Drosophila melanogaster: one gene and its partner. The protein of the gene in region 1 interacts with the protein of each later gene in a pairwise test. Each region holds a gene or a part of one and is shown in the gene's direction. Other genes may lie near its edges.

Region 1 (4,841 bases):
GCGCTTGCGTCAGCAGCTGGTGCAAAACATTTGCGGCATTTCCGTCGCCAGAAAGGGATTGAATTGGATTGAGGACTGTGATTCTGATTGTATCGAATTGGATGGGTTGGTATGGTGTGGCATGGTATGGGATTGGATTCTTAGTCACTGGCCCACATGCAGATGTAGGCGCCATCGTCGCCTTGTTGTTGCTGCCACTTTCGGCTTCAAACGAAATTCCCCGCCATGTTACGCAGCGACACGGCGATACGAGTGAAAATTGTTCGCGATTGCATTTAGCGCGAAATTAAATCAAAACAAGTCGACGGCGGCGACTGTTCATGAACTTATGTATATGCATATATAATACATACATATACATATGTACACATACAGGGGACTCGCAGGCGGCACTCGCACTCGTACTCGCACTCACACTGGCACAACTGCAAAAGCAAAAGCATATTCATTTACAATTTGCGAAAATGTCAACGACGGATGGCCGCCGGCTGTACAAATGTCGCTATCTATCTAAAACTGTAAACAAATGTACATAAAATAAAAATCGACAAAATACACACACAGGCATAAGCGGACAGGCGCTCGCACACCGAGGCAGTCACACAGACAGGGCTGCATTGCAAAGTGCGAGTGAGGCCAGACTGTGGGTGCGAGGGGGAGGGAGACAGACAGTACGCGTGTCTGCCACAAAGGTGTATGAGTGTGAGTGTATGTGTGAGTGTCTGGCCGTGTGCGTGTGATTGTCTGGCCGTGTGGGTGTGAGTGGCTGAGTGAGTGAACCACCGAGTGTGCGAGTGTGTGTGGGCAGCGGCGACCTAGCAGCGCAACATGTCAAATCACTTCGTGGAAATGGAAATTGTGGAAATGCTGGTGAAAAATACAAGAACCCACCTAGTTTTGTAAAAAAAAAAACCCGACTTTTGCTTTCCCTACTGCACTGCGGTTTGTTTTCCTACTCGTTTTGGTATTTTCCTTTAGATGGTGACGGCAGCGACAACGTCACAGGCCTTCTTATTATTGTGCGTGTGTTGTTGTTGCTGCTTGCTATTGTTGTTGTTGCTGCTGCTGCTGTAGTTGTTGTTGTGTTAAGGTGCCAGACACCAGAGGACGGAACGAAACACACACAATCTCGCACTCGCGCACTGGAAGTCGATTTCCGCCACCCGGGCGTTTCCACTTGGTGTTTTCTTGCCTTCCAAAGCAACGTTGCATCAATTGCAAATGCTTAAAAACGTAGTTTTCATAAACAGAAGCACGCACACAGGCAAAGTAAATTTTCCAAGTACCGTTTAGTTTTTACGCTTCACTTTTTTTCGATAACTGGCTCGATAACTGATTCGATCCGCGTTGCCACCTGTTTTAGCGATAGTTAGGCGACTGTTACGGTGGAAAGATGCCAGAGAGAGACATTATTTAAGAGCTGTACAACGCGCAAATATCCCTTAAATTTAAATTAAATGTTTTAGAAGGCAATAGTTCTGTTTTCTGACTGTCTAGGCCGACTCTTTAACTAGAATTCACTTCAAATTTGAATGTATGAACTGCAGATTAATAATAATGCTGTATTGTTATTAAATTCATTTTTAAAAACTTTATTTTATATGCTATGTATACAAAACTATTTCTTATATCGACAAATTGTTATAACTTTTCAAAGCATAATTGATCAAAAATTTGGAAGCCCTATCAATTTTATATATGGTTCCTGTCCGCACTAAGTAGATACTCTGATAAGTATGACCATGTGTAAGTAGCTAGAAAAAGTCAGTTCTCTTTTCCAGTTTCCCAGATCAAATTTGATATTCACCTCTTTGGGCACTCTTGCTCAGATTTGTTTATGCAGAACGCGAAGTCTCCTTTGAATCCGAAAAAAAAACAAAAAACGAGTAGCGAATAAAGTGCCCCATTGGCACAAAACGAGGTAAATAACTTGCAACCCAATCGGAAGGGAGAACATAGCATGCCACTTTCAAATAAACAAATAACGACTCCAGCGCGACTGTGTGTGCGTGAGTCCCTCCCAATGTTTGTGTGTGTTATCAAAAAAGGCGTAGAAAAGTGCAAAAACAAAGGTGTTATTGACTCTCAACTTTCTTTTTCTGCCTATCGTGTGTATCACTGTGGGCTGTGGCCGAATAAGAGCGTTCGCCGAATATGAGCAATTGGAAAAGCATGAGCATAAGTAATGAGGCAGAATCGGTTGCATTCAATTAGTTGGAGAAATGAAAAATATGAAGAGATGGTGTAGAGAGAAGGGAAGAGTGCAGTCTCGAGCAATCAATACCAACGCAGCCACGAGCCCCCCTTTCTTTGTGTGTGTGTGTGTTACCGTGTGAAAACAAAACAAATGTATGCTAGCTGTGGAAAAGAAAGCGCATAATTGAATAATAAATAATAACAGAAACAGGGCAAATGGCAACGACTCAATGACAAAAGTAAAGCCGCCACCGCAGCAGAAGAAATGTGGGTGCAAAAGTGAAGAAATATGCCATTGTTTATGTGATTTGCAAATGTGCACATTCACACAAACACCGTGGCAAGATAACGGTTGTTGTGCGGGCGGGTGCATTGCTCGAAGTGGCTGTGCAATTGTAAGAGCGAGATAGCAATACGAAGAGAACAGGACTGAGCAGTACAGGGGCGAAATCCAGGGGACCTTAAACGTGGATTATGGGCACCTTAAATGTTTTTGTAAAATCAAATCACATAAATACCGTACTTTAAACTATTCAGTGAATTAAAATTGTGTTACTGATTTTAAAAATGTAAGTTGTAATTTCAAGTTTGGAAATGAACGGTATGCCCTGCACGTTTGTCTAGATCCACCCCTGGATAGAGCGCAGCAAAGAGAACAGTGCAAATCGAATTAGTCCAGACTTTTGGTCACGCCCTTGAACTTCGCATTAACCCACCAACGCCCCCCTTCCGCAGCTAGCACCTAAGGACCCCACACACCACATAAGATGTTCAACTTTATGAAGAAGAGCGCTGGGGATGAGGACAAGGAGCGTCGCAAGCGCGAAAAAAAACTGCGCAAAGAGGCTAAGGGCACCTCTGGTGGCCCGGGAATGGGAGGCGTGACTGGCGTCACCGGCAGCATGAGCACCGACGAGCTGCTCCGCCTGGACGAGGTGCGCCGATCGCTTAAAATCCGAGGGCGACGCAAGGAGAAGGAAAAGTTGCCGAGCGGAATTACGGCGGACTATAGCGCAGACTTCTTTGCCGCCCTCAATGCAGATGCAAACGGCGGAAGCAACGGAGGAGCAGTGGGAGCTGCAGATCCCGAGCAGGATCGTGGCAATGAGGAGATTGTAGCATCTGTGATGACGCACATCGAGAGCCGAGCGTCCAATGGCGCCGGCGTGAGTGTCAACTACAGCGAGGTCACACATTCTCTCCTCTCTGGAGGGCTCAAGGTGAGGTCTTTGTCGTTTTCTTATCCGAAATCGTATTGAAAAACTTTGCTTCCACATTCCAGAATCGCTTTCTTCCACCTATACCCCCAAAACCACCCAAGCGTGGCATTCTGAAAGGCTCCCGCAGTAATATGACCAATGTCCACGAGGAGATTAGCTTTGCGGGTAGTGCCGGAGGAGCAGGTGGCACGCCAGAGATGCTATTGCGCAACACCTTTCAGAATGAATCCCTTTACGAGGGAGCTGCCAGGGGAGCTGGTTCGATCGGCTCGAACTCCAGTCAGCATGGAACCTCGTTCACTTCCGTGGAGAGCCTGCGCAGCGATGGAGAGCAGACAGGAGGTCAACAACGGGCCATGACCCTGCCGGCCAACGCCCGCTATGGAGCTTTACCCCAGGGCAACAGTCAAGGATCGCACCTCCATGTGCTCACCTCGCCGTCGCCCAGCGCCGACAGTCTCACAGATACCACAAACTCCTCTTTCGCCACACCCCCATTTTCGCTGAGTCCCGTCGGCGAGTCCCAAGGCATCGACCGTTGGGCCCGCGTCCATGCCTTCGAGGATGTGGAGCTGCCGCTGCCGCCAGTGCAGCTAGTAAAACTTCCCCCACCAAGGCAGCTAGTGATCAGGCGACAGAAGTCTCCGCGCCAGGACTTCGGCTTTAGCCTGCGCAAGGCCATCTGTTTGGACAGAACAGAGTCCCTGACTTCGCCCATTTTCAGGCCGGTTATATTCGCCGAGCCAGGTGCTGGTGGCGGAGCCACAGGTCTTTTGCCTGGCGATCGCCTAATCAAGGTCAACGGCACGCCGGTTGGGGAACTGCCGCGGGAGATCATAATTGAGATGATACGGAACAGCGGAGAGGCTGTCACCGTGGAGGTATGTTGTTCTAAGAATTTCCTAATTCCTTTTATGTGCATACGCTAAAATAAGAATTAAAGTATGATAAGAAAAGATATGATAAGAACACCTTTCATTTTATGGCTCACAGGTAAATACCTGACAACTTTGTTAAAGTTTTGCATGAATTGTTAATATGTGATTATGTTTTGTTTCATCATAAGCAATCCCTCTACGTCGGAGTTTTGTATAAAATGCGTTATTTGGTTATTATAGGAATATTTAGCTGGTAAACTTTTACTTTGTAAAATTCTAATATTCTTGAATCCCTTGCCACCCACCCAGGTCCAACCAGTCGCTGAGTTGGTGGAGCTGAGCAAGCGATGCATGGCCCCCAGCACAGCCACCGTGGAGGAGATCGATCATTCCATTACCAACGGCAACTGCAATACCCTGCGACGCAGTGCCAGCAAGCGCTTCAAGCGTCAGGTGAGTCGAGATCGCATCCATTAGTGGGTCTAGCTTACACACGTGATTGATGGACCAGGCAGGCCGTCATCACAGTACTGCAACGAACCAAACC
Region 2 (4,822 bases), on another chromosome or scaffold:
GCGATCAATTGCCGCAAATCCTCATGAACTCTAAAATTTATGTGAGGTTCCCACAATAATTTATCAGTACGTGGAGTGCTCGAGTAATCTTCCAAGATTAAGAGGATTTCTTGAGCAGGCCGACCATTTGTCACAAATCATTCAAACACCAAGGGGACGAGAACGAATGGGAGTCGCACGGTGGAAAGTGGAAGTGATATTAAAGTGGGCAAAGATAAATACGGGGAAAGCGAGAAATTGAAACAGTTGCTAGGAAAAATCACCGAAATTCCAGCGCCTGAGCGCAGCAGTTCCAGCGAAGCGTTCATCTATCGTGTAATACAATCCGTGCGTAACTATAACTACTTAGTACACGGATGCATCTTGTATCTTCGATCCGCGAGGTCGACGAACTCCGTTCCGTACTGCGCATGCGTCGCCGCCTTCGCGGGAAGTGTGTCCTCCTGTCGCTGTCATCCAATTTCAAAACATGAAAAATTAGTCCATTTCCGTCGCATAGATCCGTGGATGCCAGCCCCATGTGCTCACCTCGGCTCATCCTTGGCCTCCGGGTTGAACGAACTGCAATTGTATCCCGTCCTGCGCGGCAGACTTGTTGCCGTTGCGTTGGAAAATCTCACCCTATGGGCATTGAACTCCGGCTCAGGATTGCTTATTGGGGTTGTGGTTTAGGTGGTTCTGGATTCCCAGGTACAGTCACCGGGATCTAGGCTAATTGGAAAAGAATGCAGCAACGCAGAAAATAATATGTAATCTGTGGCCAATGACAGCATTTGCTAATCACTCCAACAGGTGTTGCATCATTGCAATTTACGAGTTGTTTATAATAAAACGAAACAGTGAATTTAAAATACATTTAAAAATTGATGTATAAATGGAAATCGAAAATACCTGAAATTGGAATTAAACCTACATATGCATATGTATCTCAAAACTTATTATTGATCATTGTACATATATAACATATTAATGTTACTTATGTAACTCGTTAGAGCTTTGTAAAGTTGCAGTTCCCATCTTTCACTAACGATTTGGATATATAAACTTAGTCATAATTCTGCCATGTTAAGACTTTTGGGGTATACTTCGACCATTCCACTCCCCTAAACACACAGAGTAAAGTCCGACAGCCAAGATCGCAGTGCAATTAAATGGCAACCAAGCAAGCGACACTTTGGTTTCGCTGCCAAACTCCACTCCGCTCGAGTCCACCCCCACTCACCCCCTTTTCTTGGGAAAAGATGGGGCACATCCCATTAGAAACCGAGAACACTTCGCGGGGTGCAGCGAGAACAGACGCAACGTCTGCTTTCGAAGCCAGATATGTTCAGAATGAAATGTAAATGTTGCTAAAATAATATGATAAATGAAGTTAATTAAATCTATAATAAAAGAAAATTAAATACTTATAAACTGTATAATTATAGTTTGCAAAATATTTAAAAATATTATGTAATAATTCTATGCACGATTGGAGAACTATTTGATTTTCCAACTTTTGGCTGAAAAATGTCCAAATGGGCAACGCAGCTCTGGAAACGGAATCTAACAAAAGTGATGGACCGGCGCTGACTTCACGTTCTGCACCCGCGACTATTTTTAGCGCCGTCTTTGCTTCTTCGTCTAGTTAGCATTGGGGCAGATACACGTACATCCGAATGCACGGATGTATCTGAGCATCTACGCATAGTATATATCCTCCTGTTGCCGAGGGCGCTGTTGCGGCTGCGCTGCCTCACTTCTGATATTCCATTGCATCCATCGGATGCAGTTGCCGTCAGCTCGGCAATCCGCTCGTCTCAATTGCATTCCAGCGCGCGTTCGGTACGGATACGGATTCGGTTACGGCGGACACAAGATACGGATACAGCAGCGCCAATCGGATTAATTGCCACATTGGATTATCAGTGATAAAGTGAATGTGAAAGAATATTGACAAAAGTGGCACTACCATTGAAAAACCTAAATCGTGATTGCATAAAGTTCCTAAAATATATATTGTTAAACATCCACTGTGCGGATAGATCTTAAAAACGGAAGGGAAAACTGAAATTCCAGGATTGTTCCAACTAGAACTTATCATCTTGTACAAGCAGAGGAATTATAAAAGATATTAAAGGTTTGTATTAAAAATGTATACGCATATATTGTAGCATACTTTTTTGATTATTAAAATCATTAAAGTTCAAATGAATGCACTTCAATCATTTGGCGGATATGAAACTACAACAGCTTGACTTTAAAAATCCATAAAGATCCATTCAATTTACTATTACCTAGTACATTTCTCAAAGAATTTCATATAACTTTCTGAATAAGTTTTTTATAAAAGCTCAATATAATCGCGCAATGAGTAATGCCCAAGTAATTCGATGTCGCCTAGTATCTGGTGGAATGCGCAATATCTCGCCGATCTGGCGGATCGGGTCCTAAAAAGGGAGCATCGTTCAGTGACCATATCCCAGGGCATTTAAGTGGAAATGTCTTGAGCGGCGAGCCGAAACAAAGGCAGCTGAATTTAAATTGGGAACCAACTGAAAAATGTCGCATGTTCGATGGGGCGCCCATTGGCTCGAAAATGTGTAAAAATGAAAAAAAAAAAAAATAATAAGATGTAAACAACACAAAAAGAGTGAAAGAAAGAAGCACAAGTTCAAGACTCTCACAGATACTCCACACGCACACAACCTCAGCCGTGGCATAGCTAAAAGTAGAAACGCGCGCAGACGAAGCAATAAACTGCACGGAAAGTAGTTTAATGCAGTTTGCTGGGGATCCTAGAGCCCCCTGCATCCCCACGCCCTCCCTTCGCGCCACGCCCCTTGGCGCACGACAAACAACTACAAATACAACAAATGCAACCACGGCGCGCCGCCAACCCCAGTTTTCCGCCGCCGATCGTTTGGCCGATCTATTTTCGTACCGCTTAGGGATGTGTAGTTTTTCGTCGCCTAGAGTAATTTGTTTGTTGCATTAGTTTTGTGGAAAATCTACACTGCAAAAAAATGTAATAGCTAATCTATATACATAAGTAAATGTAAGTAAGATTTATAAAGACGACAGAAGAATGAAGGCATAATGATTTGATCAGATATATTTATTAATATAAGTTACTTCCCTATAGTAAATATGATATAATCATATATGCCATTAGATAGATATAGCTATATTAACCTTATATGGCTCCAAAACCATTTTAATAGATATTCATAATATTTTTGTGCCGCTTTTCAAAGATATTTCTTAAATACAAAACTGCAAAAACTAAAAAATAGCAGTGCATAATCGCCAAACCTAAGCAAACTGCAAACCAAGTTCAGCCCCGACTAAAGCGAATTTGCCCGCAAACCAACCGATGGCAATGTTTATTTAAAACTTTGCACTGCCAAAGTCAACTTGCAACTTGTGGTGGCAGTGGCACAAGCCAAACGTTAGTTTTTCCCCAGCGAATCTAAAATAATGGAATGGGGGACCCAACGGCAGCAACAATAACTATTGCAACACCTAGTCGAGGGGAAAGTTAGGGGGAGCAGAGGAAGGGGGGATGGATATGTCAAGAGGCCGATGACATTGCTAAAGAACTACAGTCAAACTTCGCTAAGCCCAACTTTCATTTCTAAGAAAATCTCGCATAGTTAAAACCTATTATAGGTATTGTAATTGTTCGAATATTCCTGGAAAGTGCATACTATACCCTCTGATATTTGATTTCATGTTACTTAAGATCCACTGTACTTCGAGTTCCTTGCACCGAGGAAGAAGCAGCTGAGGAAAACACCAGAATCGCTGCAGGGGGCACCCTCACACTTGAACAAGATAGAAAGATACGCACGCGCACCAAATGTGAGCGAGATGCGCATGTGGCCATAAAAACGAGGGGAAGTTCGTTGTCTATCGCCTGGGGGACACTTCCGTCTCCATTCCTGTGTGCTCCGCAGTGCCCTGCATGTCTGCAGTTGCCATGTACCGCAGTACCCCATGTGCCCCATTTCCCCGGGCTGCCTCCTTCCATGTGGGAACTGCTGGAGCCGAAGATTGATGTTGGGACAATTTCACGTCCCACTGTTCGCTGGGCATTAAGTGGCATTAAAGTTGTCCCGGCTTATCGCTATCTCACAAGCACAAGCTCGCACCTCAAGATGCACCTACACTGAGAGAAATCCATGCCACGAGCTAAAGTGAACTCTAAACTAGAAGCCCGCCCATTACAGACTTACAATTACAATTTTAGGATCTAAGCCCGAAATCAAACTATAGCTATTTTGCATTTTTATTACATTTAAATTCATATGGAAAGATACAGATAGTCAGCACAGAAATCAGATTGTAACAAATCAGATTTGGTTTAAAAAGATAGTTTTGTAGATTGGGACAAAGTATTTCTCCGTGTTTTTATCTGCCTAGCTAGCTCAACTGATCTGAACTCATTTCCGCTGGAAATCCCCATATTCGAGTGCGTTTTCATGGAGGACCGTTAAAATCAAGACAGCCCCAAAATTACATATGTCAAATTATGTTTAATGTGCGGCATTAGTCAGGTACAGTGGTGTTTAGAGAAGCTACTGGTGCTCGTAAATGGGGAGAAATGCAAAGAAAGCATTACCTTTTATAGCTCAAATCCATACAAAGATACTTTTAAATGTACAGTGCCATACTTCTTGTTGACTTTAAGATTGTATTTTAACCGTAAGCTAAAAAAAATAAAAAAAGCATTAACCCCATTTTTGAAATACTTTTAAATATGAAAATAATATATTTAAATATTTTACAGTATGCCCTCGCTGCAGCAAATTGCGCTCGCGATGGAAGGTGACCAATCGGA

The links. Proteins that work in one complex are often made in the same cells at the same time.
Region 2: the proteins of Mhcl (region 1) and rols interact in a two-hybrid assay, tested with the Drosophila melanogaster proteins (one study listed by BioGRID).

The regions. Positions count from the first base shown.
Region 1 is NT_033777.3:16,095,711-16,100,551, reverse strand, and holds the start of Mhcl (myosin heavy chain-like), read left to right. Parts: upstream 1-1,790; 5' UTR 1,791-1,921; intron 1,922-2,931; 5' UTR 2,932-2,963; coding exon 2,964-3,416; intron 3,417-3,478; coding exon 3,479-4,297; intron 4,298-4,603; coding exon 4,604-4,747; intron 4,748-4,841.
Region 2 is NT_037436.4:12,061,859-12,066,680, reverse strand, and holds the start of rols (rolling pebbles), read left to right. Parts: upstream 1-1,821; 5' UTR 1,822-2,119; intron 2,120-4,771; 5' UTR 4,772-4,772; coding exon 4,773-4,822.